Danio rerio: one gene and its partners. The protein of the gene in region 3 purifies or fractionates together with the protein of the main gene of each other region. This does not show direct contact. Links are inferred from orthologs where the notes say so. Each region holds a gene or a part of one and is shown on either strand. Other genes may lie near its edges. The genes, in order: ppp2r5a, dvl1b and axin1.

Evidence for each region.
Region 1: the proteins of axin1 (region 3) and ppp2r5a purify together in Homo sapiens (affinity purification with western blotting; 3 studies listed by BioGRID and IntAct, with this or other methods). This does not show direct contact. The link is inferred for Danio rerio from reciprocal best matches to the Homo sapiens genes AXIN1 and PPP2R5A.
Region 2: the proteins of axin1 (region 3) and dvl1b purify together in Homo sapiens (affinity purification with western blotting; 3 studies listed by BioGRID). This does not show direct contact. The link is inferred for Danio rerio from reciprocal best matches to the Homo sapiens genes AXIN1 and DVL1.

The regions. Positions count from the first base shown.
Region 1 is NC_133195.1:14,408,475-14,418,754, reverse strand, and holds the start of ppp2r5a (serine/threonine-protein phosphatase 2A 56 kDa regulatory subunit alpha isoform), read right to left. Parts: upstream 6,502-10,280; 5' UTR 6,086-6,501; coding exon 5,929-6,085; intron 1-5,928. Other genes in the region: dtl (denticleless protein homolog), read right to left, coding at 8,106-8,222. UniProt on the Homo sapiens protein: The B regulatory subunit might modulate substrate selectivity and catalytic activity, and might also direct the localization of the catalytic enzyme to a particular subcellular compartment.
Region 2 is NC_133186.1:26,528,484-26,538,763, forward strand, and holds the start of dvl1b (segment polarity protein dishevelled homolog DVL-1b), read right to left. Parts: upstream 6,504-10,280; 5' UTR 6,229-6,503; coding exon 6,059-6,228; exon of another isoform or gene 5,824-6,058; intron 1-5,823. UniProt on the Homo sapiens protein: Participates in Wnt signaling by binding to the cytoplasmic C-terminus of frizzled family members and transducing the Wnt signal to down-stream effectors. Plays a role both in canonical and non-canonical Wnt signaling.
Region 3 is NC_133178.1:42,711,821-42,722,000, forward strand, and holds part of axin1 (axin-1), read right to left. Parts: intron 7,722-10,180; exon of another isoform or gene 6,498-7,721; intron 4,310-6,497; 5' UTR 4,222-4,309; coding exon 3,335-4,221; intron 1-3,334. UniProt on the Homo sapiens protein: Component of the beta-catenin destruction complex required for regulating CTNNB1 levels through phosphorylation and ubiquitination, and modulating Wnt-signaling.

The DNA of each region.
Region 1 (10,280 bases), on a different chromosome or scaffold from region 3:
CAGCCTAAGTAATGTGAATCCACATCTGTACAGTTGAGGGCACAGCTGAAACAAACTTTTCGACCCCGAATTAATAAAGGTTAAAGACTAAGCCAAAAAGAAAACTAATGAATAGTTAGTTCTCCTAAAATAAAAATTCTCTTAATTATCAATCCTCATGTCAATCCAAACCTTTGAGACCATTGTTCATCTTCAAAACACAAATTAAGATAAGATATTTTAAATGAAATTCAAGAGCTTTCTCATTCTCCATAGACAGCGGTCCCATGGTGCAAAAAGCAGGCATCATATTGCATATGATAAACACACAACCTTATCAAATAAGGAAGATATTGTCAAAGTTTTTACAAACGTTTTATTTTTTTTTATCACTCAAATGTCTTCGTTGGAACTTGCATATGACTACAGCTAAATAACATGTTTGTTTTGACATGTTTTAGTTCCTTTTTGTGTTCTGAAGATAAACGAAGGAGGATTTGAACGACATACATACATACATATATATATATATATATATATATATATATATATATATTGTACCAACCAGTTTTAACGTATACCTACAGTAAGAATAATTTTAAGCTCATGGCACACATCTGCATTCTTTTATTTCTTTCAAATATTGTAATATGAGTGCAGTCAGTGAATAAAAAAGTGGAAGGGGGTAAGAAACTTTATCGCCGATACTCATTTTGGTAAAAAGATGTAACTCTAAATTAATCTGAAGTCTTCTTGGAACTTGACTACAGTTGAGTGACGTGGAAAGCTTTTGGTTCCTTTTCGGGAACTTTGCTGTCTATTGAGGATGAGAGAGCTCCCGGGTTTCATCTAAAATATTTAAAGGGATGGTCTACAACGATTTCATATTTCAAACTTTAGTTGTTGTGTAATGTAGCAGTGTGAACATAAACAACATATCTGCATGTAAAATGTTCATAGTTCAATGCAAAAGAAGACCTTGATGATATACAACTTATGATTTGCATGTCATCTTTTAATAACGGTCTTTTCATGAGCTGTGTACATGTTACATATAGCTGCCGCTTGCACGGCTGACAACATCGTGAGAATTAAATGAAAGAATATACAGCTCCTTTTGCGTTTAAATTGTGTAGATTCAATGGAAAATGCTGTTACCTGCAAACCCCGTCCCACAGACTTTATAGTGAGTGGCTTTAGTCATTTTCATAGCGGACTTTGGACATTGGAAGTCTTTTATCCTCTCTTGTAAATGGGGGATTAACATTAAGCACATGATCACTAATAAGATCTGCTATTATTAGTAACTGTAGGTAAATGTGTTATTTATTTGTTATTTTCATTCTCTCATCTTCATCTTCACATTTTCACAGTTGTAGCTCCTGTCCTAAAGGCAGAAGGCATTGACTGAGTGATTGACAGGAGATATTAACCAATCATTCATGTTCAGTTCTAGAGCAGTGAGCCATTAATAAGAGCACAAAGGCAGGGCAAGCGTTGCTGGCTTTTTTACTTCAGCAAGTTCACATAACAACTGTTTTAATCTGTTCCTGAGTGCTGCGCTTAGCGTTTTTAGGTGCAACGATACATTCTGCATAAATGTCTCCTAAATCTGCGCACGCGGTGTGGATTTTGCAGGGAAAACTATGAAAATGTATGAACTACAGTGAACTCCAACCAAACTCTCATCTCCTTCACCGGCTTTGGGAAAAAGCCATTAGAACAACACAGATCACTGTGCCTATTCATGACAGAGTCCTGCGGAAAAAATGGATTGACAGGTGGTCATTTGTTTGTAACTTTATTTATGGTTTGGTTATATGTAAAGCAAAGATCATCTGGGTCATGTAGTGAAAATGGTAGACTACAATTAATTAATTCATTATTAATGGCATCGTTCATCGCGATGTTTCACATTAGACATTGTACGATGCCAAATTGATCAACATCGCCCAACCCTAACACAGCAAGCATGATTTGACTAAACACAACTTCCAGAATCTCTCCTAGTTCAGTGCTGGATTCAGTTAAATCTCCTCAGAGAAGGAGCAGCTCCAACAAGCAGAGGCTGTGAACTCTAAGCCACAATCTATATGTGTTTTTATGTGTTAAAATTGATCATGACATGTACAATTTCTAGCGTTAACAGTCTGCTGTAGCAAAGATGTAAACAACGGGAAATGCTGTTTGGCACTGCTGACAATTTAGCTACAAATTCATATTTATTAGTCAAACCGCTGTGAAAACACACACCAGCATGTGCGTGTCTCTCTATGCGTGTGACTGCGTTCTACATCTCAGATAATGAACTCGCAAAAGATATGTTAATGATTCATATTACTTACACATGCATATTCCGAATATATGTAAAAATGTTGTGTAATGCATTGAGTAGAAAAAAATACAGGGGAACTCGCCTTACTCGTGTTGCAGCAGAAAAATCAATCAAGGCTCACACAGGTTGCATCCCACATCTTGTGCTTTATTCTTCAGTCAACAGTGATACTGTATATTACAGAAAATAACTTAATCCGAGCATCAGAGAAAAAGAGACATTGGTCCCGACATGCACTTCTCGTGTTACACGCGTCTACAGGCAATTCTCTCTCTCTCGCTCGCACGCACGCACGCACGCGCGCACGCGCACACGCGCACACACACACACACACACACACACACACACACATACACACACACACACACACACGCACACACACACACGCACACACACGCACACACGCAGACACTTGTCAGATTTTATTTTAGAAGGCAGGCATGAGGTTGACTGACTGTTGGAGCCAATCTGCAAATCACAGCATTCTATGATAGATGACCAATCAGTCACTTGAGGGCGGGCCTTGTTTTCACACCTCTAGTTTGGAAAAAGTCAGGAAAGTGGGTGTGTCTAGCTCTGTTTGGGTGGGAGTGTCGGGGGGAGGGAAAATGGGCAGGGTTTGAATAAAAATGGGAGTTGCCATTTGGGCACGCGCTGAGAACCGAGAAAAAACAAACACACACGCAGGGAAGAAAGACAGTGTGTTTAATGACAGTGAAATGTTTGATACCACACGTCGTATAAGAGAAAAAAGCCTCTGCATTTCTCTGTAACTCATATGCACTCAGTAGGTCAGAAAGCTGTGTGTGTGTAGACTATCCTGTCACAAAATGCAGCAAAAATTTAACACGACGGTCGGCAAAAGTTTGCTTACAGTGTTCACGTGTTTACACTCAGAGAGCAGCATTTACAGCGGATCTTTCAATATTGTAGTGATATTAACGTACTGTAAACTAAGTAACTTAGAAATCATTTTGACTAAGGTCTGTCTTTATACACTGAAAGAGTACTGCCGACCATACGAACTATAACTTTGCCATCTGAATGAAGAAAGAAAGGGCACTGATTGCACAAACTTACAGAATCTGTAGACAGGGCAATCAGCACATACTGGAGCATCAAATCCGGATCTCACTATTGATGTGAGAAATTTTTTTTCCTCTCACGTGGGTTAAGCAGCGCTCTCATGAAGAGAAAATGAAATAAAACCTTCACATGATGAAAGCAACACTGGCGACCCGTATCTCCAAACAGTTCTTATTCTTTTCCCACAACGTTTGGCAACACAACGTGTGTTGTCTCTCTGCCGTCTGAACACTGTTTCAGGTACAGTCTAAAAAAGCTAGCATGCATATTAATGAAGTTGCATGCAGCAACATACATAATGAGCGCTCTGATTGGTTTGAACCAAGCCTTACTCATGAATGAATGCAACACACTCAGAAACATAATACGGGACGCTGAGGTACAGACGTCCCGTCTGCAAGCTGGAATACACGCTAAGATCTCATGGCCGTGATGCAGCTTCAAAAATTAGTTTTAAACCGGAAGTACGAATTTGCTCAAAATAACGCAAAAACAACTAATTTTTACTTTTTAGTGAGATATATGTGTCCTAATAGTGTTTTTAGCAGTGTGGGACACATATACGACTGTCAAGTGTCAACATTTTAAAAAATGTGTTTTGGTGTTTCGTCACCCTTTAAGTGTTTAAAATATGATATCATAGTAGTGATGGGTCGTTCTTGAACAATTCGTTCATTTTGAACGAATCTTTAATATGACTTCTGAACTACAAGCCCTCTCAGGGAGTGATTTATTCATTCGCGCGTGCATACATTTGTGCAGGTGGTATCTTTTGAGTCGTTCATCGCGGAAAGGGAGAAGCCAATCATATGCGTTTAGAGACAGAAAAAGAATTGATCCGTTCATCTCTCAAGTCGTCTATCGGGTTTGAGTCATCCGTTCCCCACAGGCCAATCATATGCGTTTAGAGTCGGTAAAAGAATAGATCCATTCATCTATCGAGTCCTCTTTCGGGTTTGAGTCATTCTTTCCTCACAGGCCAATCATATGCGTTTAGAGCCGGAAAAATAATTGATCCGGTCACCTATCAAGTTCTTGGGTTTGAGTCATTCTGTCACATGATGAATGAAAGACTCGAAGACTCGAAAAGGTGAACTAATTATCATGGCTCCTATTGGCTCAGATTGTGTACTTTAATTAAGATTATATGTGACTGTCAGTGTAACGTGAACGAACCACTGACATTTGAAGGCATGAAGAGGTGAGCTAAGCAAAGAGACCACAATACCTTCATAGACAAAAGAGCGTGTAAACATTGAATTATTATTTTCTCCTTCTTATAGTATTCTATTTATGACTTATTTGTTGTGTAATCAACCTTTTGGGCTAGTTGTAGATGTGTTTGGAAGCAATTCTTTTGGAAAATTGAACCAAATAAACGAAATGACTCGATAAAAGTTTTGTTCATCTCGACGAACGAGACTCAAAGATCCGAGTCAATAAAATGATCTGAAATTCCAATCACTATATCATAGTGGAACACCCCTTTACGAGATTGGAACGAAGTAGGGGTAATAACAGACTTTTTGGGGGAGGGGGGTGTACCAACCCAATTAAGGTATAATTACAGTATGAATATATTTGTGCTCAATGCATACATTTGTATTCTACACTTGCTCACCATTTTTTTTTTTTTCAAATAGGATATATTTGCAGAAGTATTCGGATGGCCTTTTAATTTTGCAGTAACCAGGGTCAAGTGCTTCCGGTGAACAGATACAAAATCTGTGCATTTATAAGAACTGTTTTCTTTAAAAATCAAGGATCTTCACTGCCTAAATGCTATACGCTATAAAGCAGGTCTAAGAATATAGAAAAAGCACTGCATCAAATTATTTTTTTTTTTGTCTTTGAAATATGAACTAAGTTCATTTAGATAACTAAATGAACGCTTAAGTCTTTTTAACAGATTATATTTTAATTGCATTACAACATCAATGATGTAAAAGGAACCGTATAAAATTGAAGGAAAAAAAAAAGTCATATTTTAGTTCACCGTTGCTTATTTTGGTAATAAGTAACGCAAACCTTGGTTACTTGATTATGTAACTCAAGCTACCTGTAATGCCAAGATTGATTACTTTCAACATAAAAAAAAAAACTAACTAAAGTAATTTCTGGAAAATATGGTGGCTTTTATATAGTATAGTTGTACTTGAATTACTGTGTTGTGGTAATTCTAAAGTTTCTATTGAAACAGCAATACAGTAACATTAACAAACAAATTGTTACTGTACAAACCTTCTACAAATATAGTAACATTATATCATACTACAATACACCAGTATACCACATTATTTATTAGTATATCAGTTTGCTATAGATAAACACTATAATATATACCTGCAGTAAACATCCCGAATAAACTTTACTATAGTGTGGTTCAAAAACACTAGTGCTTCCTATAAACGACAGCACATTTTTATGAAGGGAACTTCCTTTATAGGAGCTCCTTTATATTTTAGACAGCTGCCCAGTGTTTAAGACGCAGCCCGCGAGTGTATATTTGCAGAGCTTTATCCTCTTACCTTTGAGCTGCGGGAGCGCCGAGATCTCTGGAGCCGCAGGCCTGCTGCTGTTGACCGCAAATTGAGACGAGCCCTGGCATACCCTCTGCCTTTGCGCCTTCCTCACAGACTTCCGCGTGAACCCGTCCACTTTCTCCGACGCAGAAATCGCCGACATTTCCAGAGCAGATCTAGCAAAAAAAAAAAAAAAAAAAAAAAAAAGCTGCGCCTACAGTGAACGAGTGTGCCCTAAATGTTCTCTAGACTTGAGTGCAGACATCCCATTGACTGTGCTATGCATTAAACTCACGAGACCCCATCTAATGTGACACTGTCAGCCCACTCGCGGAGGCTGCATGATGATCCACAGGTACCCTAAGATGACGTATAAACGTAGACGTTAGTTACTGACGTGCTTTTATCATGCTTAAATGTTTACAAAACCATATAACAATGTCGAGTACAAAAATGCAGTCGCGTTTATCCAAGGAGACACTCCATATGAGGAAAAGAGTTTAATGCGAATCCGCCGAGGGTAAAATTCCTCAGACCCGCTGAACTTCATTCAGCTGCTGTTGCGCCTCAATGGAGTCTAAAAATAAAACCCCGTGGCGCGTTTGAGTGACAGCATGTTCGTCCAACGAGCGCCAGCACAAACACCAAGCTCCGCCCACTGACCAATCAGATTCTTGTTTTAATGGTATTTAGGGAAACACACAAATAAAAAGATACTGTATCCTTGAACTCGCATGAAAACATGCAACAAAACTTCAACAAACGTTCAACCACTCAAAAAAAAAAAAATAATAAAATAAATAAATAAAATTATAAAATAAAACAAACATACAGGAAAAACAACGTCCACAATTAAACATTTTAAAGAGAAACACTGTGAGAGTTAGTTGAACTTGGAGCCTTGTCAAAGGAGAAAGGGACAATCCTCAAATTGAGAAATAAAACAAACGCATAATCAATATTCGTAGTTAGAACGCAAATAAATGTAACTTTTTTATGAGAATAATTTAAACGATCACATTTTTACAGAAAATGTTTAAAACAACTTCCTTTTTTGTTTATAAAAAATGTCTAATATACGTCTAGACAGTGGTCTTAGCTGAAACAAGGCTACATTTGGGCTGTCAGTGAAAATCTAATGGATGTCTAAGAATATGCCAAAACTAGACTAGTTATTACATAAACAGAAATTAATACACACATAGTCTAATCTGTCTATTTGACGACTATAGTTTTGGGCTATTATATTAGATTAATCTATTAGATTTTCAATGACAGCCCAAGTTTAGGCTTGTTTTAGCCAATCCTTCAACGTTTTGATACCTAACAGACATCTAAAATTGTTTGCTAGGCCATGTCTAGGTGAACAAGGCATATTTCTATAGCTAAAATTAAGTTTCTGTATGCAAAAAGCATATCTGACCCACCATGCTGAAGATATAGTGAAAATAAAACAAAATAACAAGCAGGATGAAAACTTTGAGGCAGATCTTTCTAGTTAAGTGACATTCTAGCTATTCACACAAACTTACAAAAAGAAAAAAAGGCTGTGCTATAATGTAAAAGGTATTTAAATCATTACAAAAAAAAAAAAAAACCCTACTGCATTATAGAGATTCAATACGTAAAAAGCAGTGGGCTAATTGGAAATGGATTAGTTATGTAAAGTGCTGCTTTACAATCAATAGAGAACTGAAAATGTGACCCACGTTTAAGGACAATCTCAAATAAAGGGCATTACACATTTGGAAATAAGTATTAGAATTGGAATAAAAAATAAAGTATGATATAACACTGATTATAACACCCAAATATAATTTAATATAGTTTAAAAAGCATGTTAAATGGAGCAAAGTGTTTCAAACTGTCTGACAGACATGAAGGTATCAGAGAAACTTTAGAATTCAACTGTGGTGTCAAATGACTGTAAATGATCATACATTTGACCCTTTTCTAGAAAAATATTTTTACACATTTAAAAATAAATGCACAACTAGATAAAAAAATACACATTACATACATAAATACAGGCAGAATCTGCAAATCTTTTCTAGGTTTGGTTTGAAGCTCAGTTACAAGAAAAGCTGAAACTGAATTTAAACCATAAATGTGTAGAATGAAAGACACTTGTAATCTCTTTAAACATGCACGCACACAGGCATGCAGGCATGCACCCATGCACGTCAGTCTTGGGTTCTTTTCATAAAGTAGCTTGAGATTTTTTTCATAGGTTTGGAAGGTGATGCTTTCTTGTTTGTTGGTGGAGAGAAAACTTTCATGGGACGAGGTGAGACTGCTGCCTAGAGAGAAGAATATAAACAAATTAATACTGAAAATGTATTTCAAGAATCAGAAGCTTTTTTATATAATATGCATTTTTTAAAAGATGCATACCAAGGCATTTCCCTTAACCCTTCCATTGTGAAAAATGAACACAAAAAGAAAACTTAAAATTTTTTTTATTCCTAAAACGCAAAAGCTGATTTATCAGCAGCAATTACTTTAGTGTTTTGCAACACATTATATTTCCGAAATTTTTAAAACATGATTTAATGATGAAGACAGATTTCTTAGTGTTAATATTGTGTTTACATTGTGGAAACTCTAATACTAGAATTTAAAGAGTCTTTAATGATCAAGTAAAAAAAAAAAAAAAAAAAAAAAAATCTTTTGAAATATAAATTTAAAAACTCTATTCTTAACTGTGAGGTGTTATGGTATTTGAATGAAAAACGTACTGAAGAGTTTAGTTTCCAAAACTGCATATCCATATAATTTGACTTTTTTTTTTTTTTTTTACCAAAACTAAAACACACAGCCACTTGCAAATATCAGCCTGAAAAAAAATAATAAAAAAATTAAAACATTCAGAACATCACAAGAAGTTTTGGTGGAGAAAAGCAGACATTATCACTGTTTGCACTGACTCAGTCCCGCTTGTCACCAAGGTAGGCAACATACAAACACACGAATAAACGCAATGAAAACAATAGTATGTTGTACAGTTGACGGTTCACTGCCGCTATTTGGTTCTATTGCAGTCATATCAGTAAACGGTACGAGAGTTTGCACAAACCATACTTAAGACCACCTCAGACTCGGGTACGATTTGTGGGTGCACACCCGAGTTCAGAAGACACATTCACACTAGCTAAACGCACTGTACTTTGACGCCAAATAAACCAGAGTGCAGTCCAAAGTGTTGAAAGCACAGTTAGATTTGTTTTATTGGCCTAATTTTTCTTAATTTAAACAAATCATTATTATTTTTTAAATTCCATGATTGATCTTTTAGTCTGCAGTTTTAGTTGATGCAGAAACAAAACTTGATATATTAATAAACACTTTTTTATTTGCAACGTTTAATAGGTCTAAATCTTCAAACTTTGTCCTCTTTATTAGGCAAAAAACAAACATATTTGAGGCCACTGAAAAAGCGGACAATTGATTATATTAAAAAACATCAAATCATTGTTGTTATAACTGTTAATAAAAATAAGGGGAAACATTGTTAGTTGACAAGCTTTTTCCTGACACTAATGCTGTGGTCACGCTACATTTTTGCCCCATAGAATTTTAATTCATAGGTACGAAAATGTGCTAGGCAGGAAACGCAAGTTTGTCCTGTTAGTAGTTTCGCAAGTTACTGCATTCCAAAGTTCAATTTTGGTGAACTCTGGCCTGTAAATGCGAGAGACCAACAGAAGTTCAAGACATGACCTCTCTGTACAGAAATGTAAAATATGGAACAATAAATACTTTTTAGTGAGGTCGCATCATCTAGTTTTATACCGCCTTTTTTCGCAGCACCAAACAACTATTTTGCATGCTCAAAATCTACTGTGCCCATGGCTCAAGACAGGATGACATGGATATCATTAGATACTAAAGAGGGCTTAGTTTTCAGTTAGGTTATATCTATTTCACACAATATGACTTTAAGCATCAGCAGTTTGCAGTGGCTGCCGCTCATCACTACATCTGACCCAATTTGAGATCGAGTCAGCTAACTGTTCTGGAATATTTATCATGCTATACATTGGATTTTCATCTGTAAGGTGGCAGTGATTTGCAATCAAGCCTCTTTGATGCATCATTCAATATAGAGCTGCCAATTAATCAAAAAAAGATCACAATCTTGATTCTACGCTAAACGCATAATTTTTAATTCAGGTTTTTATACAATTCAGCCAATTATATTTTCAAAGTCAGGAAAGAGGTGTAAACAACTATAGTGAGATGCGATCCAGCGGTACATCTCTGAAGAGCGAGGAGGGATTTGGGGGGCCCCTTTCTGGTTTCAATAACACCACTTTAGACAGCTACCTAATTTTCCTCTGTGGTTTCCCATCCAGATA
Region 2 (10,280 bases), on a different chromosome or scaffold from region 3:
AAGATATTAACTTACTCTAACTTTTATTTTTCAGACATACACTGAAAAAAATGCAGGGTACAACACAATTTATTTATGTTGTCTCAACAAAAATTAAGTTAATTTAACACTTTTTATCAAATTTATGAAAATATAAAAAAATTAAGTTGTCCCAATGAAACCTTACTGTATTTTTTCAGCTCATTTTAAATAATTAGTTTGAAAGAAAAAAAGATATTTTTTGAGTGTATATATCTCATATCGCAGCCTTTGCGATTAGCTAATCACAACATTTCAAATCACGATTGCGATTGCGATTAATTGCACAGCCCTACCAAAACTCTTTGTCAGGTATATGTGAATCAAGTATCATTTGATGGCATTCTGTTATTGAAATGACAAATGTCAGAAAGGTCACCTGGTTAAACAGTTGGGTTAAAGTTTCAAGATCAAAAATGGACTTCACAGAAATCAAGGTCGCACAACACAATTAAAATGTACAAAAATAAACAAAACAAAATGGTTATTTACAATATACTGGATTTTTACAGTATGTTACAAAACATTTCATGCCAAAAATAGGACTTTTTTTGCCAAAATCTTTCTATTTCAGTATTTCAACTATTAAATAAGCAAACCAAAAAAAGCACAAAACCCACCAGCAATACTTGACTAAAAGCAAATCTAATCATACAAAAACATTGATAAAAGTCACCAAACAAAGGAATATAAAATAATATTATATACAAAATAATAATATTTTAAATATAATAATAAAATAATTCAAAAAGGCAAATATTTATTCATCAAATTTCAACCTGTTCTGTCAAATCATTTACTCATATAATTTATATTACTATTTTTCTTTTTATGTTCGCTTGTATTACTGTACAGCATTATATTTCATTTACTTTCAATGTTTTTATTTTACAGAAGTTTTTTCCAAGTCTGCATTACGCCCCTATGGGTTATGACATCAAAACAAAATCCGGTAACACTTTATAAAAACTACACCCTCATTTATTAAGCATTAGCATCTACTGTATTTATTACTTGTTAAGCAATAACTCTACATTAATTAACGTTAGTAAGCAGTTTCTAAAAGCAGCTACAAATATTGTATTCTTGACTTATAACTACTTTTATAATGTGCTTAATAATTGTACTTTTATCATTTGTGACTGGTTGATTTTTCATTACTAAATTCAGTATTGCATTATTTACAAACCATTTGTATTTAAGAGTAGTTGGAAGTTTTTAAGATCATTTAGAATGAGTTAATAAATGATTAATAAACTATTGTAATCAACATGTACTGTATATATTATTAATCGGGCAACTACTAATAGTTAATTGCTTCTGTTAAAAAATGCTTTATTTACTCGACTTCATGCAGTTTTGTCACCTGATCTAAAGTGAGGACTATTTATGCTTTATAAATCCCTTATAAATGGCAATTAAAGCCTCAGTATCAAATGAACAATAATCTTTGCAATCTTATCTAAAAAGCAAAATTACTGTAGTTTAAACATTGCTGAATAACAGTAGTGTCTAAATATGGCATCAAATTGGATAAAACAACAACAGTAAAAAATATATGCAATGTTCAAACTGTACAGTAATTTTATTTTAGTTAAGATTGCAAATATTTACCAGTTTCGTTTCGTTTGTCTTTAAATGATAGAAAAGTCGTTTATGTTTTTTTTTTTCCTGTTTAGTATTGAACTGACCCTTTAATTGTCATTTAAAAGGGATTTATAAAGCATAAATAGTCCTTACTTTAGATTAGGTAACAAAACTAGATCAAGCTGACTTTATAAAGCATTTATTAAGATACAAATTGCCTATTAGTATATGCCTGAATAATAAAAAATTATAAATATTAATTTGAATGGTTAATTAATCATTTACTAACTCATTCTGAATGATCTTAAAAAAACAACTAACTATGCTCATATAACTGCTTTGTAAATAATGCAATACTTCATTTAGTGATGAAAAATAAATCATTTACAAAGTATGAAAACAATTATTAAGCACATTATAAATGTGCTTATAAGTCAAGAATGGAGCATTTGTAGCTGCAGTTATAAACTGCTTACTAACGTTTATTAATGTAGAGTTGATGCTTAACAGATAACGAATTCCCTATTTGCTAACGCTTAATAGATGATTCATAGTATGCAGTTATTATAGTGTTACCAAAAATCCTTATGTGTTTAAACAAACTCACCAATGAGCTCATTCTGATTCTGCTGTTGATTCAACAGTCATTTAGTTACCTTTCTGAATATATATTTGATTATTAAACATCTATATAAAAAAATTTATAATTTATAAATATAATCTCAGTTTTACAAAATGCTACATTTATTTGTGCCACACTATTGTGATGTTACTCACTCATTGCAATAAGGTCCTATATTTCGTTTTCATCATCTCTTATCTTATCAGCATCTCTTATCACTGACAATTTGCTTGGAAGGAAACCTACTACTTCTGCCCTATTTTGTAACCTATATGTGGAAAGTGGCAGCTGTTCACAGAGAGGATGACAATCACATCAGACTGCTCAGACAAGACTAGAGTGGATAATCTTTCCAACAGCAAAACTTCTTTCCTGCCACCAGAATGCATTTTATATGGAGCCTCATCAAACAGGGTGCCACAAACCATCAAAACATTTACTAATACAAAATGGCTGTATCTTAATATGTGTTCTTCAGCTATCTTGCGTCTTACTGTACTCATATAACATCATCATCAACCGTCAAAGTTCAGTTCCAAAACAAAGACTTTAAGAACTTCCCAGATGTGTTCTTGATATCGAGGATGCTTCAATGCAGACCTGAGAACAAAAACCACTCAAGAAGTCCCAGAAGTCATTGCGACTGAATAAAAGAGGTTTGAATCGCAGCACATTATATATATTTATAATTTAAGTTCAGGAATAGAACTCACTTATCTCAGGAGTTTCTTTGAATGAGATGGTGAAAATAAACAATTGAATAATAAATAATTGAAATTGTTTGTTTGTTTGTTTGTTTGTCTTTATTAATCCGCAAATGGGAAATTCACGTCACAGCATAGCTTTCCATACTAAAATAGATCAAATAAGTTACATATATATAAAAACAATAATAAAATTACAATTATACTATACATCAGTTCCAAAAACAATGAGTAAACACTTGTCCATATCTAATAATGATTATAATTAGTACAAATCATCTGGTGTGACTTTGGTGAAACAGTCTGATCACTGTTGGTAAAAATTACTTCCAGTATCTTTCTCTGTAACACCAGGGTTGAATTAATCTTGCACAAAAAGAGCTTGCACACCCTTGGACCATATCAAAAAGGGGATGACTATCATGGTTCATCATGACAAATTTGTCCAGCATTCGATCATCTCCTTTATAGTGGGTAGTGCACACCCCACAATAGAACCTGCCCTTTTTAAGAGCATATTTCATTTGTTCTTCTCCTTCTCCAACAGTCCCCTTCCCCAGCAGCTTACAGCATACAGGATCACAGAAATCACCACAGGATCATTAAAAGTTTTAACAGTGTCTGACACAAGGACCTCAGTTGTTTTAATGAATGAATCTGACCCTTCTTACCTGAATTGTATTTTCAGACCAATCAAACTTAGATATACACCCAGGTACCTATATGATGAAACATTCTCAATTGCTGACTCCTGTCTAATCACTGGCACCGCTCGTGGTGGATGTCTACTGAAATCAACAATCATTTCTTTGGTCTTATTAGTATTTAATAAAATATTTAAACAAAGGCATAAACACATTAGGGCTGTTTATTTGCTGAAATTTGTATCAAAATCTGTTTTATTTGTATTGGGCAAAGTATATTTGTAAGGTTTTTGTGCATGTTATATATTGAAAAGGGGAAAAACATTAAATCGTATGAATGTGGTAATGTTTAAATAATTTTCTGTTAAAAACGTGTAAAGATCATGTGACCATCAGGAAAAATGCAGCATCTCATTTCTCAGAGGACGTGTTCTGTGTTTTCGCGGTCTCCCAGGTGCGTTCTTTCGTTCACAAGAACGCAAGTCCGTTCTCTGCGTTCTTGAAATTGAGAAACAGCTATTGTCTCTGATGAAACACAACTAAACCAAATAAGTAGGATCTGAAGGAGCACTTGGTAATTAACAACAGGTGTGTTCAGGGTTCAGGGTTGCAGCTGAAATCTGAAGGAAGGTAGATCTCCAGGAAAAGGATTGGGCACCCCTGGTCTAGGCAAAGAAAATGACTTCGGATTTACATCACAAATCTACAGAGACCCGAAAGCCATGTGATGGTGGGGAAATAATGGGTGGGAAAAAAAAGAGTGATAGGAAAATATATTTTTATGTTCCCTCACAAAGTTTTACTTTAGTAACTGTTTGAGATCAAAATATTATTAGTTGCAGACATGTTTACATATTATTAAGTGTATTTTCTGTAAACACACACCCAAAACTCAAAGTGTCCTGCACGTTAGCACCTCTTTAAATGGCATGTACAGAATCTGATCTGGGATCAGTTTATCATACGAAGCGCGTCCGTCAATCAGTCAGTCAACGCTTATGCATTCACTGATTTAGGGGTTGCATAGGAAGCCCGACAATTGACACAGAGCTTTAATGGAAAGAAAATTGCAAACATTTTTATATTCATTTCAATGTGTTTTTAAGATTAAAATATGGGAGAAATATGGGAAAATACTTGAACAAGATGATAGTGGGATAGAGCGGGAATATATACGGCAAAAACGGGAGGATTGATATGTATGAAGTGAACAGGAAGTGTTTCGGAACAAGTTTTGTGAGATAATGCAAAACATTTTTGTGAGATAACACAAATATCTTTGAGAGGAAATGCAAAAACTTATTTTTTAAAAATATTTTTGTCCTATCACTCATCATTTTTTTTTTCCACCCATTTTTTTCCCGACCATCACATCCCTTCGGAGTCGCTGTATAAATCTAATGGTAGAGCATGAAAAACAAAGTATCGATGTTCAAATTTGGCAGGTTTGGTTCAATCAAAACAATCTCTGTTGTGACTGCTCTTGTTAAAGCTTTTTCAGATTAAGCAGCAGAGAGAGTAAAGATTTGTCCGACCACTGCACAAGCTTAAGGAAATCAGAAATTATTAAATTGAGTCAGAAAAGAATAACAAGGTGATGTGTATGAAAAATGGTGCCATTATTACTTTTCATATTTTGATAGATATGAGTTTGACTCAAATTTGAAGTATTTAAAGAGTTTTATTTATATTGTTTATGCACTGAGATTTAAAGGCTTTTAAAGAAGTAACTAAATAACTTTTCAGACAGAGTAATTAGAAAAATAATTCAAAAACAATTTTAATGAAGTACTTTGTAATTAGTGATTAATTACTTTGTTCAACTTACCCAATGCTAATTACAGCACACAATTTATGCTTAAACCTTTACTACAAAATGTAAAATATTGTATATTTTGGTTCAGCCTTAAATCGAAAACATGAGCAGTGTGAACGCCAAGTGCAAATATATCATAATCTTTCTTAGCAGGACCAAGAGAACCGAACTACAAGTGTGAACACACCCTAACAACAGCTTGGCCAAGCTAAGATGTATTCCTATTTATTTTATCCCAGTAATCCAGCGAAGAAAGATTTCATAAGCTGACAGAAAATAAATCAACAATATAAGCTGACAGAAAACACAGACACAACAAGAAGTCCATAATATACAAATAAATCAGGAGTCAATCATTTTTAGCCAGTTAATGCTGGTTGTCTTGAAAGGTCAAACTTCGGTTACCATGCAAAACAAACCAGTTCAAAATTCAAATCACAGAAGCAAAGAGACGGACTGTACGTCGCGCTACAGCATATTGGACATGACTCTATCTGTCCTGATGCTGAGCCCACAAAGGAGGAGATGATGGTGATGCTGATACAGACATCATCAGCACTGACAGGCAGGTGCCAACGTGACAAAACCATTACCGCCATCAATGACAGCTTCGTTCTGCATACCACAAATGAAGGAACACAATAACACCTGGCATCCTCTCACTCACCCGAAATCCTGGTCCATAGATTTGAAGAAGAATTTATAGCTGTTGACCGGTCGGTTGCTGAGGACATTTTTGAAATCCGCCAAAGTTACCTTCTCCGGAGCCACTGACAGTTTGACTAAATAGGGAGTTTCCTCCTCGTCTATGTGGTATATGATTTTAGTCTCCGCCATGAGAATATGGTGAGAACAATTGCCGGAGAACAGCGCGTGTTCCTGATGCTGCCTGCCAGTCCAGACGTGCGGCGACAATAAATAAAAAGGTCTGGGATGATGGATGCTAAATGAACGCAATCACGCGTTTGGCGCGATTGAAGCTATGGATTAAGCGACATTTTAAAGCTAGGGATAAGAGCAGAGCCATTATGGAGGCCTGATAGATGTCTGGTGCGGCTCACTATGCGGAGGTTTTGCTGCCTGTGTTACTGAAACAGGAAGGAAAGGTTCACATCCTTGAGAGAATCAGGCTGGAATATCCGAGCTGTTCTCCGGCGCAGTGCTGCCATCGTGCGGTAGACAGAAGACAAGACATGGCCAGTCTGGACTCCAGCGGCAGCGGGAAATGAAGCGGTAAATTAAAATGATTTGACTAAAAAATATATAAATATAATTATTTAAATTCGTTTTTTTTGTTTTTGTTTTATATGTTGGTTTTTTCCTAACAATGTTTAAGGTTTCCTAACAAGGGTTGATGTTTTGATTCACCTTTTGCTGAGTCGGTTGGATTATTTGATTCACCATTTTCAATGCCAGTTTGAGGTTTTGATTTGTCATTTGTGTTGTGGATTTGAGTATTTGATTTATAGTTTGAGCATTTGATTTATTATTTGGGTAGTTGTTTTGAGAGTTTGATTTATTATTTGATTTTAGGCATTTGAATTTTTATTTTTATTTTGTTAGGAAAAAACTTCCATAGTTTTGTGTGGCATTGTATGAATCAAAATGTAATGTATATACAAATTAATATAAGTGTAGTAAATGTGACACCCCCTCATTGTTTTAGATTTAGTTTTTATTTATTGCTGCTCATATAATCAAGTTATTAATGAATTGTGGTGCACAAAAAAGAAAAGAAAACAACTGGGAACTGTCAATCATATTAGAAAGCAATTTACTTAACATTTGCTTATTTATATTTATTAAATGATGTTGTATTTTGTTTCATAGAATTAAAAAAAATATTCTCAAAATTCCCAATTTTGATTCGTATAATTTTATCTAAAAAAAAGTGTTAGTAATTTTGTTGTTTGTTTGTTTTTGGATCTGTATTTAGTCTGACCTTTTTATTTTTATTTTATTTTCTGCTATTTTAAATGTAACTAAATGAAAATTGTACATAATTCCTTGGTGAACTAGTCGAAATTAAATTAGTTTCTTGTTTTTCTTTCTGTTAATGTTTTTTTTTTTTTGTTTGTTTGGTTGTTTCATTTACCAAAATGATTGTAGTTTCATTGTTTTTAGTTTATATTTATCGCTGCTCATAATCAAGCTTGTAATTAATTTTATATGGTGCACAAAAAAAAGGAAACAACTGGGCAGTGTCATATCCGAAAGCTATTAATGTTTGCTTCTTTACATTTATTAAATTATGTTTATGGTTCATAGAATTTAAAAAATAATTTCTCAAAATTCCCAATTTTGATTTGTATAATTTTATCTGTACAAAGTGTTAGTCATCTTGTTGTTTGTTTGTTTTTGAATACATTTGTATTTACTTACTTTATATTTAATAAATTATGTCATATTTTATGGTTCATAGTTTATTATAATTCCTTGGTGAAGTAGCTGAAATAGTTTCTTTTGTTTCATTCATTCATTTTCTTGTCGGCTTAGTCTCTTTATTAATCCGGGGTCGCCACAGCAGAATGAACCGCCAACTTATCCAGTATGTTTTTACGCAGCGGATGCCCTTCCAGCTGCAACCCATCTCTGGGAAACATCCACACACACACGTACACTACGGACAATTTAGCCTTCCCAATTCACCTGTACTGCACGTCTTTGGTCTGTGGGGAAAACTGGAGCACCCGGAGGAAACCCTCGCAAACACAGGGAGAACATGCAAACTCCACACAGAACTGACAACTGAGCCGAGGTTTGAACCAGCAACCCAGCGACCTTCTTGCTGTGAAGCACTACCTATTGCGCCACTGCGTCGTCCCAGAAATAAAAAATAATTTCTCAAAATTTTGACTTTTATACTTTTATCTAAGGGTTAGTCATTTTGTCATTTGGTTTTGTTTTTATATGTTTCTATCATTTTATTGTAATTTTGATTATAGTTTAAGTCACAAAAAAGAATTACAGAGATTTCTTAGCCTTTTGTGGTTTATTTTGCTGTTTTTATTAATAATTCTTCTCATAAACATATAACACACATTCACTCAGAAAAAAATGTATTTGTTTGAATAATAATTATTAATAATGAATTAGATCTTTGTCATTATATATATGAACATTGTGTTAGACATTTTTCAGTGCTGTGCGTCAAATATAAAATGTTTTAATGCCTGAATTATTGTTTTGACAGTCCTGATGTCACTCCAGGCAAAATCACAGGAAATGTCAATCAAATTAAGCAACACTACAGTCATCGTCTTATTGCAGTCCATTAGACATTTTGCTTTTTGTTGAATTATAACATCTCTTCCCAGTATCAAAAACATCAAGCCTATTGATGCACTTGAGCCTACAATGTAATATGAACTGAAAAAAAAAACCTACATCAAACCAAAGTAATCCAGAGGTTAACTTTTATTTGAATTTATTTGATTCTGCTTTGAACATGGCAGCGAACTCGAAAATAAGGTCATCAATACTAAAACTGCTTCAGGATGAGAATAATCAAGCATCCATTATATAGCATCAAACCAGAAAATTCCTCCTGCAACCTTGTGAAATTCTTACACGGAAGCTTTAAAGAAATTCAAAGGGCAGTTAAAGTGTCATGAAATGATCATAACAGGCATAAGCATTGCTTCATAGCTTCACCTTAATAAGATACAACTACGCATAACACAGATCTGAGTAACCCAGAGAAGAAATGTTCACGGCTATGAATATACACAGCCGTGTACAAGCTGCTAAAATAAAATTGACTTCATGTTGTACCTTAATGGATTAGCATCAGTTTCACTCTAACTTGTTTGCTAATGAACACAAAGCTGGCGGTTAGAAGAGAGCATGGAAGCAAATACATTGAACTAATAGAATATTCAAACAGTGACAAAGAAGTTAGTAAGGCTTGTAAAGTTAATATGAAAATATACAAATGATAACAGTATTTGTTGGTGACAGGATATAAATGAAATGAAAGAAATGTAGCTTGTTAAATGGTAACAGTCATCAAAATGAACAAAAAAGAAAAGATTTAAATGCGTTTACAATATTATCCTGACTTGCACTATGAAATAATTTGACTAAATTAATTGTGCTTACCTGTAAAAGTGTAGGTTTAACATTTATAACATAATTTATTAAGCCTTTTTGATGTTTTAATTCAACCTGGGCTAAATTATGAGCTTTTACATGACCAAACAGACCAAATTCAGCTTTATAGGCAAAATATAATTGAGTGTGATTTAATTAAAGGAGTAGTTCATGCAAAAAAAGAATTTTTACTCATTATTTACTCTCCCTCGAGTGTTTCCAAACATTTACAAGTTGTTTTCTTCTGTTGAACACATAAGAAAATAATTAGACTTTAGAATTAACTTCCCTAGAAGGAAAGTATAGAAATCAATGCTTACATGTTTTTAACATTTTTCTAAATATCTTCTTTTGTGTTTAACAAAAGAAAGAAACCCAGAGTTTTGTAAGTCAGTAAGTATTCACAGAACTTTTATTTTTCAGTAAATTATCCCATTTATCCTTTATTTAGCATTTATAACATAATTTTTTAAGCTCTTTTAATGTTTAGTATCAATCTGGGCTAAATTATAAGCTAAATTATGGGTAAATTATCCATCTTATCCTTTATTTAACATTTATAACATAATTTATTAAGCTTTTTTAATGTTTTGATTCATTCTGGGCTAAAATAGGAGCTTTTATATGACAACACAGACAAGAAACAACAATATTGACTACAGAACTTTTATTTTTGGGTAAATTATCCCTTTTATCCTTTATTACACATTTAGAACATAATTTATTAAGCTTTTTTAATGTTTAGATTCAATCTGGGCTAAATTATGAGCTAAGTTATGGGTAAATTATCCCTTTTA
Region 3 (10,180 bases):
ATGCAGTTTAGACCAAAATTTGCCTTAAGCTTCTGAAACTGGGGAGAAAAGTTTGATTCAAGTCAGACTAAAAACAATAGCTTGTCTTTAAAAAAACACTGTAAATGCTAGTCCAAAAAGCTAGAAATCAGGTATTTAAGTTTTTAAATGGATATTTAACCAAAAACTGAAATCCTGGCATTTTTTAATTCTATAATTCTTTTAAAACATGTATGCCTTACTTCTGAATGTTACTGACTTCCACTGTATGGACCAAAAAATTTTTAATTGGGGACTAGGGCTGTGCGATTAATCGAAATTAAATTGCAATCGCAATTTGAAATGTTGCATTTTGTTTAATTCCACGACGCTATGATTAGAAATATGTATTTTTTTATTTCACCTGCCGTCTGTTTGTAACAGTCTTACTAGCCAATTGAATGAGCAGACTTTCGTTCTGCCCAATCAGAATTGTGCAACCAAACTATGTGGAACGCTCACAATAAATATAAAAAAAAATAAATAAATAAAAAAGACGAAAGCGCAGACAAGTGGGATAATGGCATCTGCTATTTCAGAATCATTAATAGAAGAGTCTCCTCTATCATTAAGACTTATCTATTGTACTAAAGAAAAATAGCATTAGTAATATGGGAATATTTTGGTTTCAAACTCAGACACCGAACAAAAACAGGCAATTTTTAAGAGCTGTCACACAATTGTTGCAATGGCTTGCAGATTATTGAACTGAAGCTTGACCACAAAATTGTATCGTAAATCAAATCGCAATTTCAATATCTGTCAAAAAAATAAATAAATAAATATTTCACAATTAGGTATTTTCCCTAAATACCACAGCCCTCAAAATGTGTTCACAGAGGGAAAAAAAAGTCTGAGGTTTGAAGTAACAAAGTCTGATTTTAAGGCAGACTATCAGAGCTATCTAAAAAAAAAAATTTTGCTTAGCTTCACCCAGGCATGCAGACCAGTCAAAACTCCACAAAAATAGGCAAAAATGTTACATGAGTTCAAAAAAGGAGTCATCATTCAAAATTACAGCTTTGGCGAAAGCAAAATGTGCATGGATGAGCAGTATAAACAATCATTGAGGTTTCTGTTGAGCTTATAAATGCACATGTAAAAGCAATAAGTGCAATCAGAGGCATTTAGATTAGTCACAGCCTACTAGTTGTCAAGTGTGTTCAAGCTCACTGACAGAATTATTATGGAATCTCTCATTATAAAAAACAAAGTGCAGATATGCAAGTGATTCATGAAGTGATTAATGTGAAAAGTCCACAAGTAGCACTAGACTAATATTTGACTTGCATATGTCATGTGTAGCTAGAATATGCTACTTGCTCAAACTCTAAATTATTTTAATAAGTATTCTATTATAAACTGACATGAATAATCATTACAATTTTAACTATGTTAAAAAGACTTATGTTGTGATGCAGTCACACTAGAAATTGAGCTTGCAAAATTCTGTCGTATGGCGCTGCACAAAAAATAAAGACGATTTTAAACATTTAAAAAATGCAGGGATTGGTCCATATTTTAAATTTCTGTACACTGAGGTGATGTTTTGATCTTCGATTGGTCTCTCACAGTAACGTGATGCAATTTCACCAAGCTTAAAATTTGCAATGCAGTGAACTGCGAAACTTGTCGCATGAGCTTGCATTACCGCATTTGCGTGCATTTACATGGAAGTCTATGGGGGAGTAAATTGCATGTTTTAATCATGATTCTGCTGCCCTACTCCACATTAAGGTCCTTTAGTGCAGTGTTTCTCAACCACATTCCTGGGGGACCACCAACACTGCATGTTTTGGATGCCCCCTTTGTCACACCCATTACAGGTCTTTCAGTCTCAGTGAATGAGCTGATGATCTGAATCAGGTGTGTTTTAGCTAAAAAGACATGGAAAATATGCAGAGAAGGTGATCCTCCAGGAACGTGGTTGAGAAACACAGCTTTAGTAAAGTACATCTTGTATGCAAATATAATGAATTGTTGCTAATAGCATTGGTAACATTTGAAAAAAAAACTCAGATTGGTTGCATTTAATTATTTGAGATGATAGAAAACAGATTCACAGAGAAGATATTGTCCTTGTAAGTGCAAAAAGAACAGTTCTTGACATAAATAACCAATTATTAATTGGACTGATTGATAATTTTGTCAACTTCTGATTTTCTGGACTGTGATGTGGTAAGATGCATTTAATGTATTAAATATGTTGCATTGTGTGTACCTGACAGCATAAAAGCAGCTAGAGTAATAACAGCGCACGTAAACTGCAACCAAAAATTGTTTGTACTCTGGCAAAGGCCTACAAACACTGCATACCTGGAGCAGTTATTGCTTTGATATGCCACGGTGAATGCACCTGTCGATATTTGCTTTTAAATCTGGGATGGAAAGCTTTGTAATCTTCAGCAGAGGCTGTTCAAAGGCCCACATGCACCGCTTTCTATTCCAGCAGGACAAGGATTAAAGTATTTAGCAGTCACATCTCTAAATCCCATTTTGCTCATATGGAGGGACTCGAGGCTCTGATGCATCAAGTGATTTGCTGTAAATTTCACAGTGCGGCTTAAAAAGCACGTCTCTGCAGATTAAACGATGTCGGCGCGATGCACGATATGAACAAGAAAGCTCCGTGCGCTAAAAGAGCACAATGGGCCGTCACAACTGGTGGCGAGGAATGCCTGGGGAATGTCTGAGCAGCAAAAATTCATTACAAAATACAATACCTGAAGCACACATTCCAATACGCTCGCTCGGCACGCAAACCACGGGTGGCATGAGAGATAGAGATCTAAACACGTTCAGAAACGCACCGAATCCATACGCAGCACTGGGCTTCAAAGGGCACCGGATCAGATATACGTAAAAGCACCGGTTAAATCAATGCTGCCAAACTTTTTGGAGTGCTGTGCATTGCTTTCTCTTTCCTGCACTAAATATGCAGTGCAGCGTCTTTGTGCCCATTCTAAAGAGAATCCGTGTTGTGGTTCTCCTGAAGAAACCTTTATTCTGCTGCAAAGCCTGCCATTCAAGAGACACCTGCATGGAGAACACAAAGAGCACCCACTTGCACCAACTCGCAGTAGGCAAAGACAACGCTGCGACCCAGTATCTGTCTTGCTAGCTCAGTCGCAGCTACTTAGAGCTTTCTGCCTATACTGCATTCCTCTCATCTCCTGTGGAAGGCTGTGCTTAACTCAGATTCCCGTTTTATCTTTTTCTTCTGACTGCGCTTGCACCGCGAGGGGGAAGGGGGATGGAAGAAGACAGAAAGAGAGAGAGAGAGAGAGGAGTTTTTTTCAAAGCTGCAGGGATTTACCTGTACTCACGGTTGTCCTGATATCTTTTACTGTTGGCCACCCGCTGAGGCACCGTTTCCAGAAGCAGCTTCTGGGTGAGCCTGTTGCTGGGAGTGGGGTCACTTTCCGCGATCTGCTCCTCCTCCTGGTCGCACCTCCACTCCACGTCTTCGATCACAGTCGGCAAGTAGCCCGGCAAGACTTTGCCGTTGCCTGACACCGAGCTCTGGTCGCTAAACAGTTTGGGACTCTCTCCGCCAGTCCTGGTGTACTCCAAGTAAATGTCGGACTTTAAAAACAAAGGGTAGGTGTTCTCCTCCATCATAGTCTGAATTTCCGTCTGCGCCTGGTCGAACATAGCCGGATCGATGTGCAGCTTCATCACGCAGTCTTTGATGAAGCTCTTGGTGGCGGGTTTGATCTGCCGGGATACGATTCCATTGTTATCCAGGATGTACTTTTTGTAAATGGCCTTCGCGAGTTTCAGCATCTTCTCGTTGCCATCGTTGGCCTCTTGCTTGCGGAATCCGCTGCAAGCGAACCAGAAGTCCAGCATATCCGCGCACTCCTCTTGCTTGAGGAAAGTCCTAAACAAGTGGATGCCGTCTTGGTCGTCCAGCAGCGAGTGTAAGGATTCCGCCCATTTTAAATAGGGCGGCGTTGGGGAAGCGCTACCCTCGGGCTCATAGCCCAGGTCCAGGTCGGGTCGTCTAGGCGTAGCTATGGAGGCCTCGTTCTTGAGGCTGTCGCTTTTGGACGAGTAAAAACTGTGGTTGTATTGCCGTCCATCGCTGGACACCAAATCGCCCTCCTCCCCAGGGACCGGGGGTCTGGGGGCATCCTCAGTGAAGCTGCTGCCCAGGTCTGGCAGATAACAGATGCCCTTCTCGTTTACACTCATGCTCATAGTGTCCCTGCACTCTGTCCCAGTACAGCCCACGAGGCAGAAAGTTTATATCCAGACTTCTATTAATGCCACTGCGAAAGAATTCCTCCTGCATGAGAAAGACAACGAGAAAAAAGAAAGCATTCAATAAAGCTCTTGCAGAACATTTATTTTAAAAATCAAGTGACTGACATGAATTTGGGTGTGCCTGCTGGCATGTCAGGCTAAATAATTCACATCATCGAATTGATCATTCTGCCATCTTCATTTGTTTCAAAAACACAGGTTTGTAAATAAATGTAATTAAATATCTTACACATGAGTAGCCCCACACGGAATCCGCGCACGCAGAAATCTGCAGATTTCCAGCCTATCATTGAGTCTACATATTTACTTGTGGTGTATTTACTTGTGTAAATGTGTGTAAACTTATTTTTAATCAGTTTCTGTAATGATTTCACTAATATTATTGTGATTTAATAATAGTCATTTTTAAATGTTCATGATTTAATAATAATAATACAGTTAAGTAATACTTTTGGTCTTTTAGTAGATATATTATATGAGAGTTTATTAAATAAGTGGATCCAATTGGATTTTATTTAATATATTAAGTTTTTAGTTAGGATACTCCTAAAATCATTCCATGTAAATCCGCAACTTTTACTAAATTCTCTGCAGAAATGGCAAAAAATGTCCGCAGATTCTGTCTGGCCCTACACATACAGTAAGTTACCATTTTTGGATCACTTAGAGGGTCTCAAGTGTCACGGATGTAACCCTATTATGAATTATGTACCTTTATAAGACAAGATGATGAGGTTACATTTTACATAAGGGTGTCCTTGTTACAGGGTACATACACAAATCAGTATAGGCCAATATTCACAACATATTTACTATGAGACAACTTTGACTGCTTGTAATTCAATCATTCATTCATTTTCTTTTAAGCATAGTCCCTTTATTAATCCAGGGTCGCCACAGCAGAATGAACCGCCAACTTATCCAGCATGTGTTTTACGCAGCAGAAGCCCTTCCAGCAGCAACCCAGCACTGGATAATGCATGTAATTATGCACATTTCATTTACTGCATTGCTATAGAAGGCACATCTATTGTTTCTTTTAGTTCCTGGGCCATACCATATTTAAAAGCTGATGTTCCCAGTATTTAAAGAACCTTCACTGTCACAAAACGCATCCCTAACATGAATTATGCACCTTTATAATACAAGATGATGAGGTTGCATCTTACATAAGGTGTCCCCGTTACAGAGAATATAAACAAATCAGTATAGGGCAACATTCACAATGTATTTACTATGAGACAACTTTGGCTGCTTGTAATTCATTCATTCATTCATTTTCTATTTGCTTTAGTCCCTTTATTAATCCGGGGTCCCCACAGCGGAATGAACCGCCAACTTATCCAGGATATGTTTTACGCAACAGAAGCCCTTCCAGCTGCAACCCATCACTGGGAAATGCTTGTAGTTATGTGCATTTCATTTACTGCATTGTTATAGTAAGTGCATGTACTGTTTCTTAGTTCCTGGGTCATACCATATGAAGCTGATGTAACCCGTATTTAAAGAATCTTCACTGTCACAAAACGCATCCCTTATATGAATTATGCACCTTTATAAGACAAGATGATAAGGCAAAGTTGCTTTTATTTTCACACATTTGTTCAATGACAACTTGTGAAATTATCCCTATAGTGTTAACCATGATACTTTGAACATTCAGTCAGAAATTAGATGTAATTATGACTTCAAAACAACATTAGCACTATTTATTTGACTGTGAATAATGTTGTACATCATGTTTTAACTATTTATAAATTGCAAAAATTGCATTGCTGAAATTATATTATTAAGGAGGTCTAAATGTGTGAATATAAAACCAACTTTACCTCAATACCTTGTTACAAGGAAAATACAGAAATCATTAAATGTATTCACAATGTACTAACTATAAAACAACTTTAGTTGCTTTTAATGTACTGCACTGCATTAGTAAGTACATGTAACAAACATTACAGCTAAATTAAATGCCACCACAAAGAACCACGGCACTAATCAGATAATAGTCAATAACATTGTAACAGCAACTCAAACGGTAATGACACCTCAGTAGACCTTTCGGGCAACATAAAACCAGTGTTATCAAAGTTTAATCAAACACAGCACAGCGCTACAAGCCCATCAAACTTCCAGTGGCCTCGGGCGACTATCTTAAAGCAGAGATAGCAAAAAGGGGGCAGCCATCATGGCACAAACACTCTTGAACTCACCTGTGACACGCTTTATGACACCATAAATCCAACACTTTCAAGTTCCGACCTTAAAACCTGTGACTGCCTGCCAACTAGATTGCGTCTGATGTGCTTGATAAGCGAGCTGGGGAGGAAAGAAACCTTGAGCTTTCCGAGTCAATAACTTTAACAGCGCGAACTTCAATGGCGATGAGCTAGCAGGCTAATCCAGCGCGAGACGCGCATTTAGAAACATTTTACGCAAACGGGGATGTTGTTATCTAAATTAAACCACACTAGAAGTGTATATTGTGTACAGCTACGACGCAAAAAAACAACAAGCACAAGTCAAAAACAAATATGACGAACATCAACCGCATCAAAGAGGGTAGCGCGCGAGGGGAGGAAGTACGTGCGGCGCGAGACCTTCCCTCACAAGTGAGCGTAGACGGCGAAAAAAACACTTTCACCATCTTTGAGCGCACGAGCCGACATTTCTAGCGAGCTCTCCCCGCTGATCCGCTCCACGGATCCGACTCAACTAGTGTGAGAACACGTTGTCACAGCACGCTAGCCATCTTTACGCACCGCAAACGCCGATCATCCCACTTAACGTTACGCGGCGCGGCCATCTAAAAACGGATCGCTGCGTTTTTTCCTCCGCTGACGACATTACAACACCCCTTTCGCTGCCCTCGCGATCTGCTTTGAAGTGAGCCCCACATTCATCGCATTCATGTCTCGGCCTCAGCAGCAGCAGCAGGAGCGGATGGGGGAGGGGAAAGTAAGAAACAAACTCCATACACACACATACACACACACACACACACACAGCCAGGCCCTTCCGCAGCCCAGGGACTAGTGTGCAACTTTGCAACACTGATTTTCGCACTCCAACACGCGCCGATCATCCGAGCGCGAGAGCATTATAAGCGCGCTCTCGACCTGACGGAGGATTCGGGCGCGAGCAGCGAGAAAAAGCGACGGTGCATTTCATCTCTCTATATCTATCTCTCTCTCTCTCCCTCCGTTACCGCAAACCCCCATTACACCCAAGCCAGGAGAAGGAAAGAAAAAAGTGCTCCGTACTGTACCTGTGAGAACCTACTTTCCGCTTTCGAGCGCATCGGGAATAGCGTTGTATGCGGCGAGATGTGAATCGTGTCATCGATGCGGATCTCGGAGTTTAAAAATAACAAAGAAAACAGTCGCTTCTCCACCTCTCCATGGCTGTCTCTCGCACTCCTGTGCCCGTGTGCGAGTGAGCGAGAAAGAGAGAGAGGGGAGCTGGAGATGTGCAGCGCCGCGCACGGCCAGAAATCACACTGCCGCCTGGAGAAAAGAAAAATCAAGGCGAGGAAACCCTGGAGTGAGAAGACGAAGAAGAAGAGGAGCGCCTTCAATCCTCTTACGCCGCACTCGAAGGTGCTGTCAGTCTGCAGTTGCTAATTAAAAGGTTTGGAAGGAAACGGCGTAATTAAAGTGATGTACACTTGATGATGAGACGCGTTTGGAGTCTTCGGGAAGAGCTGTTTTAGGCTAGGGTGAGCGGGTCGCCCCCTTATGGACGCCGCCATGTTGACATCACATGACCAGCTGTGTTGACCGTTTGTGTTTATTACTTTACGGGCGCTGATTTAAACAAAATAAGCTCAATATACACTCTATGGTGTGTAAAGTAAATAAATAAAAGCAAAAGGTATTGGGGATTTCCTGTCAGGGCTAGTTTACAGACATTTCCATTAAATGGGATAGTTCACCTAAAATGAAAATTCCCTCACCATTTTCTTCCACTCAAGTGGTTCTAAACTTTTTATGATTTTATTTCTTCAGTTAAACACAAAACAAGATATTCTGAAGGATGTTGAAAGCAGTCACTTGACATCCAATGTATGAACATACAAACAATAAAACACCCTAAAACGACAGCAGTGAAAACACACTGTTAATCGGCTATATGCATACAGACTTCATTTTCAGCCAGGCAGCCCAAGGGGGCTTCCTCTGAACTGTCTTTCCATTACAAAACTTTCACATTTAAGATCTGATTTCTATAAAAATCAGCGATCTTCACTGCCTGTTAAATATATATGATATGAAGTGGGTCTCAGATCGGACAAGAAGCACTGCATTAAATTCCATTTCCCCCTGCTAACAGTTTATTTCACCCCAACATTTTCAAAGAAATTTCTGCGCCAGCCTAATGCTGCGGTTACAACGGTCTTTCATCTTATTTTATGCTTGAGCAACTAAATGATTGCTAAATGATTAGTCTATTTAACTGAATGTATTGTAATGACAACATCGATGCTGTAAAAACAACCATGTGAAATTGAAAATACTCACATTAAGCTTTCACCGGAAGTTTATCGTTGGCTTTAAAACTCTTGCTGTGCATTATGACAGAAGAAGGGGGGTGAAAAGTATTCCCCTTAATGTCAAATCAAATGCAATTTATAATTTAAAAATGCAGGTGAACACCACCTGTGAAAATGTACTTAACCCTTTGACTGCCCAATCTACCAAATGGTTGACCTTGTTTTGACTGTTTAAGTCATTTAAATAATGGTTTACACGTACACACAGCATTGTTCATTTACAAAACAATCAAGACATAATCCTGTTGCACTACTTCACTTGATTTTGGTTTTATTGTTAAAAAAAAAACATGTTAATCTGAAATATTTTATGGCATACTTCAAAAAATAAAGGTGATTTAGTATTCAAAAATGTTTTATTTTGATTATTTTTTAAGTAAATTGGTTTTACACTTCGTTTTCTGATTTTTCATCGTAAATGTATAATTCCGGTACTTTTACCATAAACTGACATATCAACCATTTAGTAGAGATTGATATTTTAGAAATTATGGAAAAAAATTGCATTAAGTGTGTTAACTAGTGACATTAAGAGAAAATATTTTTTTTCTTGTTGGGGCAGTTCAAGGGTTAATGTAGGCCTACATATGGTTTCTTTACATTATTAACACAGTACATGTACTTACTGCCATGCTTAATTTTAACAAGACTGAAAAACAAGACTGTGAGGGATTGAAGTACATTCTTTACAATGGATTGTATGCTTATATACAGTTGAAGTCAAAATTATTAGTCCCCTTTTTTTCTTTTTTTATATTTTTTCCAAATTATGTTTAACAGAGCAAGAAAATGTTCACAGTATGTCTGATAATATTTTTTCTTCTGGAGAAAGTCATGTTTATTTTATCTCTAGAATAAAATTAGTTTTTAATTTAAACATCATTTTAAGGACAAAATTATTAGCCCCTTTAAGCTAAATTATTATTATTATTTTTTTGATAGTCTACAGAACAAACCATCGTTATACAATAACTTGTCTAATTACCCTAACTTGCCTAATTAACCTAATTAGCCTAGTTAAGCCTTTAAATGTATAGAAGTGTCTTGAAAAAATATCCAGTAAAATATCATGTACTTTCATCATGGCAAAGATAAAATAAATCAGTTAATAGAAATAAGTTATTAAAAATATTATGTTCAGAAATGTGTTGAAAAAATCTCTCCATTAAACAGAAATTGGTGAAAAAATAAACAGGGGCGCTAATAATTTAGGGGGGCTAATAATTCTGACTTCAACTTTATATATATATATATATATATATATATATATATATATATATATATATATATATATATATATATATATATATATATATGTATTCAGACCTAATGAAAACTAACTAT